Linked DNA regions of Sus scrofa. The protein of the gene in region 2 interacts with the protein of the main gene of each other region in a pairwise test. Links are inferred from orthologs where the notes say so. Each region holds a gene or a part of one and is shown on either strand. Other genes may lie near its edges.

Evidence for each region.
Region 1: the proteins of FATE1 (region 2) and SLC7A1 interact in binary tests that used the Homo sapiens proteins (3 or more experiments, as listed by UniProt). The two-hybrid records come from large-scale screens. The link is inferred for Sus scrofa from reciprocal best matches to the Homo sapiens genes FATE1 and SLC7A1.

What each region holds. Positions count from the first base shown.
Region 1 is NC_010453.5:6,549,072-6,552,721, forward strand, and holds part of SLC7A1 (high affinity cationic amino acid transporter 1), read right to left. Parts: intron 2,019-3,650; coding exon 1,897-2,018; intron 1,425-1,896; coding exon 1,202-1,424; intron 582-1,201; coding exon 442-581; intron 1-441. UniProt on the Homo sapiens protein: High-affinity, low capacity permease involved in the transport of the cationic amino acids (arginine, lysine and ornithine) in non-hepatic tissues.
Region 2 is NC_010461.5:123,111,258-123,113,704, reverse strand, and holds the end of FATE1 (fetal and adult testis-expressed transcript protein homolog), read right to left. Parts: intron 2,145-2,447; coding exon 2,062-2,144; intron 1,810-2,061; coding exon 1,731-1,809; intron 1,039-1,730; coding exon 907-1,038; 3' UTR 527-906; downstream 1-526. UniProt on the Homo sapiens protein: Involved in the regulation of endoplasmic reticulum (ER)-mitochondria coupling. Negatively regulates the ER-mitochondria distance and Ca(2+) transfer from ER to mitochondria possibly implicating it in the regulation of apoptosis.

The DNA of each region.
Region 1 (3,650 bases), on a different chromosome or scaffold from region 2:
CAGAAAAAAAGGTAAGCCCCCGTCCCGGGTCTGCCACTGTTTATAAACTCAGGGCAACTGGCCTCACCAGCCACGTCCCCTGGGGAAGAGGTGGCATGTTTCATAAAACGTTGATTGTAAGAGACACTCACTTCCCAAGAGAAGTGACGTGGGGCTTTGAAGGGACAGTGTGTATTCTGAGCTCTGCCCAACGAGATGATAATCACTGAAAAACTCAAACATTTCCAGAATTCCATCACACCCTCTGTAAACCTGGCCTCTCTGCCTTTTATCAAAAGGGAATTAGTTACCTTGTAATAAGCCACATTCCAAGGGTGAAAAACAAATGTTAAAAAGACCAGCTATAACTCCTTAGAGACCAGCACCATTCAAGGTATTTCCCCAGGAAATAACTGCTCCACCGTTAAAATACCGGCGTGTGAAACGAGCTCCAGTTCTTACCGGCAATGGCGCCCGAGGCTAACGTGGCGATTATTGGTGTTTTGGTCCGGTCGTTGATCTTGGCCAAAAACTTAAACAGCAGCCCGTCTTCAGCCATGGCATAGATAACTCGCGGCATGGGGAACATGGAGCCTAAAAGGCTGGATGGGAGGAAGCGAAACGCATCTGCACAATCGCCCACCGGCAGTCAAGGCAGCACCCGGCAGCGGCCAGAGGCCTGGGCTCAGCAGCACGCCAGGAAAAGCACTCACTGCAGGTCTGTGTTAAGTGCAGGACCAGGAAAGGTCTACCGTGAACCAGCGGGGCATCAGGATGTAACTTTTTGGAAGAGAAACTGATTATTTCTAGCTGAATCAAAGAGAAAATCAGAGCATCGCTGCTGCACTTGAGGGGACCTCTCTGCGGTCAGCCGAGGTCCTGCACACATTTCTGTGCGTCCAGGCCAGCAGGAGCGAGCAGGGCAAACTGTTTCTCCTCAAAAGCCACTGGCTCCCTTTTTCAAACTGGGGGCCACAGAGGGGGCCTGAGCCAGTGGCCATGGTCGGGGGGCAGACGGCCAGGCCCTTGCTGAGCAGAAGGTGCTAAAACATGGGGCTTGGGTTCTTCGCGATGAAATGTCAGGAGCACAACAGCCCTTGGGGTGGCTGACAGCAGCGACAGGGGGAGAAGCCACAGCCAGGGTCGGGGGGTGCAGCTCTCTCTCCAGGGAGGAGAGGGATGCTTGCAGCAAACCCACACCCCCGGGAGCCCGGCTCCTCACCTGGTGGAGAGGGCGCAGAGGGAGCCCACAGCCACGGCGTACTTGGCACCATCCCAGCCCACGTGCTTGAAGGCGTCGGGCAGGGGGCTGTCCTTGTCCAGGCAGAAGTAGGGCATCATGAGCGTGAGGGCGGCCGACACCCCGAAGTAGGCGATGAAGCAGATCAGGAGTGAGGCGACGATGCCCACGGGGATGGCCTTCTGGGGGTTCTTGACCTCCTCCCCTGGAAGAAGGAAGGGTCAGGGGGTACTGGCGGGAGGGGGCTGGGGCCTTCCTGGCTCGGGGGAGGGAGGGGGCGCCCTCAGCACTGAGGACCAGAGCACACGGTGCCCGGGACAGACGGCCTTCTCGGCCTTCCCACTGTGGCTCAGCAAGGACAGGCCGTCTCCTCTGGCAGAGACAATGTGGGAAGCCCAGGAAGGGCTGTTCAATCTGCCACGATGACAGCGCTGGTGGCCCCTTTTCTCCCGGGTGGGGGACGGGGAGGAGGCAGATATGCAGTCAGCTACAGCTGCGACGTCAGCATCCGGGCTCGAGGCCAGGGCCCAGCACGTGGGGAGGTGCCGGGGGCGGGTGAGCAGGAAGCTACACACCCACACGGTTCTCGGGAGGGAGACACACGCCCCCAGGAAGGGAGAGAGCGGCCGCGGCCAGGTGAGCCCAGGTGTGCCCAGGGGAGCCAAGGGCGGGCGTACCTGTGGTAGCGATGCAGTCAAAGCCCACGAAGGCATAGAAGCAGGTGGCTGCCCCTGACAGCACGCCAGAGAACCCGAAGGGCATGAACCCACCGACGCCTGGCTTCCCCACCTTCGTGGCACTGGAACAAAGAGCCACAGTCAAGATCACAGCACCCACTTGGGGCCCCGATGAGGGGCCACCCCAGGCAGCACCCCACCCGACAGCCACTCCTGTGGCCAGGACTCCCACCCTCAGCGACCGGTCCTGGGGAAGTTGTCACAACCACTCACGCCTGGGCAGGAGGAAGCCCTGCGCATGAAGCCCTTCCCAGAAGCACCTGCTAAACACCGACTGGGGACAGGGATCGCGAGGCAGGTGCCCAGCGGGAGAGGAGAGGGACCCACACCAGAGGCCCCTCCCTAGGACCCGCAAAGAAAGAGGGTCCTCAGGGCACAGCCCTGCCCCACGTCGGCAAGCACGGGTGTTCTCAGGGCTGCCAGCAGCTCACCGCTCCAAGCCACTGTCCTCGGGATTCACGGACTGGCCAGTGGAACAGACACACTGGACCCGGCTATGTTCTAGTCGGGGAGCCTTACCCCAACTCCTAAATGACGAGCACACTTCTCAGTTTCAGAAACAGCCCCGGAAAGCCAGGGCTTGGGGATTTTCTCAAACATGGGCCTCCCTGTAGCAAGTGCAAGAAACGCATGCATGCCAGACGCAGGAAAAACCACTGCCAGGCTGACACGAAGTGTGTCCATTTAAAGTATGACTAAAACACACCCACAGCCGGGTACAAAGGCGGGACCGGTAAGTCAGCCAGGCACAGGACGCAGGGCAGGGCTGCGTCCTCCCGCCCCCAGCTGCCCACAGGCAGCCCCGCACCCCCCAGGTCTGCCCATCACTAAGCGTGCAGAGCACTCCGGAGAGCTGACCACTATTGTGAAAAGTGGCTGAAGCTTAAAACAAAACACTTGACAGGCAGCCAGCGCGGGAAGGGGGGGATGGGAAGACCAAAGGGGGCGGGGTCCCCAGGGGGCTCCCAGCAGACCCTTTCAGCACCCGAACACTAATGGAAGGACACGGGTCTATGCCCAGGGCCCCTGTCGCTGCCAGCCGGACAGACAGACAGACGGACAGGTACGGAAGGGCTGCAGATGCCCCCGGCATCAAGGGCTGGGAACAGCCGTGGGTCAGAGCGTGAACCCCAGGGTCTGCTTTAAACCACCTCCAGGCAGAAGCACCTGGAGAGGTTCTGGGAACCCCATTTTCAGGGAGGAAGAAGGGGTGGTCCAGCACACTCATTAAACCCCAGGGAGAGACGGGACTGGGGAGAGGACGAGGGCTGGACGCGCCCCCATCACGCGGATGGAGACACAGGACAGACAAGCACGGGGACGGCAGAGGGCGAGGAGGCAGAAAGCGGCCTCTGGGCTCCTCAGCGCAGGGACGGGGAGGAGTCAGACAGCGGCGGAGCAGAAGGACCGCGAGGGACAGGGAAGGGTGTCCCTCTGCTCTCCATGAACTGCGAGCCAGCTCTGCCACTGGGTCCCCTCAAAACCACCGCTAGGCTCAGGGGCTGGGACTTCAGGCACCTGTGACAAAGGCCGAGCTCCTGACACGAGCAGGTCTGCAGAATTCGCAGGTGCGTGACCAGGTGTGGTGAGCAAGTGGCTGTGCGACGCTACTTTTTATGTAAGGAGAGGGAAACCCCATACACAGTACACATGCACTATTCAAAATAAACATAAAGACACACCCGCAACTGCCT
Region 2 (2,447 bases):
TCAAGCAGTGACACTTCTGCCCTCTCAGGCCAAGCCCCAATTCTCTACCCAGCAACGCCCCCCTGCCCTCCCCGTGCACGAGGGGCATGTTACAGGGCTGTGACACGAGGCGGAGGGGTGGGGGTGGGGGGGTCAAAGCCCCTCCTTGTGGGCCCCCATGCAACCTCCAGGGCTGAGTCAGAGCCTCAGCCAGTCTCAGGAGAAGCCCTCCTAGCCCCAGCCCGGCCTTAGTCTTGCTGAATGAGCCCAGGGCTGCGTTCCCCTTCCCTGGGACTCCATTTCCTCCTGAGCAAATGGCAACATTTCTGGTCCTGCCCAGGACATTTCCTCTGATTGAGTCCTTGCATCGCCTGACCTGGACAGGCTGCCGCAGAGTGGCTTCCCCACAGGCCAGAGCCTGCCCCCAAGGCGCACCCCCCACTCTGCCCCACAGGGATGAGGATGGTGCAGGAAGGGGCACCAGGGTCTTTGTCTGGATAGGCTGTCCCCACGTGAGTCCTGGGTGCAAGAAGCTCAGCCACCAGGGTTTGCTGCTATCACTAAACTTTTATTAAGAACATTCTCTGTGCAGAGCCCAATGCATGACATTGAAGAAAACAGGGACGACACAGCCAAGCCCCTGCCAAGGATGGAACAGAAGGGACACCGAGGGCCCCCAGGCAAGATGTGGCTCCAAGACGGTCACCGTGGAGCCCTGACAGGCAGGTAGGAAGCACCTACCCCTGGTGTTCCTGAGGCAATTGGATGCCACCCTCCTTGCCCTCCACGGGGGCTGCCTCTCAGCCCCCTCGGACCTTCCTCCACCTCCCAGCTGCTGCTGAAGGGTGGGGAGGAGACGGCAGGGGTGGCCGAGGGAAGGAAGGGGAGGAGGGGAGGGCTCCATGTGCAGGTGGCCTGCGTGAAGCATCACTGGCGCAGCCACAGCCAGAGGTTGGCAACGCAGACGGATACCAGCATGGTGAAGAAGAGGGTCTCCCTGTGGCGCCAGGTGGCGCCCTGGTCCTCCAGGGCCCGCAGCCGCCCGGTGATCACTTGCAGCTGCCAAGAGACCAGAGCTGGCAGGTGAGCAAGGCCATTCCGGGGAAGCCTGCGCACACCGGCGGGGGGAAGAAGTGTGACCTCAGAGCAGGAAGGGGGTCTGGACCAGAAGGAGGCCGGGCAGCTGAGGCCAGGGTGTAGGGTGGGCCCCGCCGCCTCGCCCCCACTTTGGGGACCTTCCTCTTGTCTGGAAGAAGCCAGCCCATCCCAGCTGTGCCACCGCAGAGTGAGGGCCATAGGATGAGGTGACACTTAGGGGCCAGAGAGGGGCTGCCAGGGAAGTTGTCCCCCAGGCCCGTGCCCCTGCCTGTTGGGGTCGCTTCCTGAGAAGACGCGGGCTTGGTCTGAAGGAAGGTGACCCCTCACTCAGATGTCTTGGCATGGCTCTTTCAGCACCAGTTTCTCCTGTGCCCCCATGTCCTCTCTTCCCCCCCCTCACGCCCCCCCTTCTTCCTTCCAGCATCTCGGGGAGAGACACAGGGTTGGGGCTGGGCATCAGGATAGATACGGGAGCCAAGGGGACTGGGGGGAGGGAAGGGCGACCTGGATGTCACCGTCACCTCCACCGCTAGAGGATAATGCGACTGGCAAGGCTGAGCATCGCCAAGGCGGGTGTCGAGGCCCCGCCTGCCCCAGGGCACTGGGCCTCGGCCTCCACCCTCCGCGTGGCTCCCCGGCAATCCGACGCTCACCTGTCTTCTCATGATTTCCATCTCCAGCCCGTTTAGCTCCTCCAGGCCAATCTCAGCGATCACGTCTGCCCCCAGGTTGCTGGGAAAAAAGACAAGAGTGAGAGTCAGAGCTCCTGGGAGACCCCCATCGATCGGGTCCTTCCCCCCCTGGTAAGCAGGTCCTGGGGCCTGAAGACTGGGAGCGGCCCAGTCGCAGGGGCCCCAAGCAAGCCAGGGGCCAGGAGGCAACGGAGCCCGAGCCCCGCTGGCACGGCCAGCTGCTCACGCTCCCCCCTGGCCAGCCTGCCTGCCAGCCCCTGTGGCCCAGCCTTGTCCCTGGGACCCTTCTTACCGCTCGTAAAGGAACCCCATGCCTTGGAAGCCGCCCTCCTGGTTTGGTTCTTGGGACGCTTTCTTTGGTGGCAGCTGGGGCCCCTAGAGAAAGGAACGGTCAGGCAGAGCAGCCTGGACAGAGGGCCCAGCGGAGCAGTTGCCCCGCACTCTGTCCAGGACCCACTGGAAGTGCTTGGGAACCCCACGAGGTGGCCGCCGGCCACACCCCGCATGGACCACGCTCCTCAAGAGCTCTTGGCCACCCAGGCTATGATGAAAGAAGAGCAGTGACGGTGTCCCTGCCCTCTGCCAGCACTGTCACATGCAGACACCGGCTGATCTGAGCAATGACTGAAGGAGAAAGAGGGAAAAGCCCCATTTCAAAACCAAGAAAACTGAGGCCTA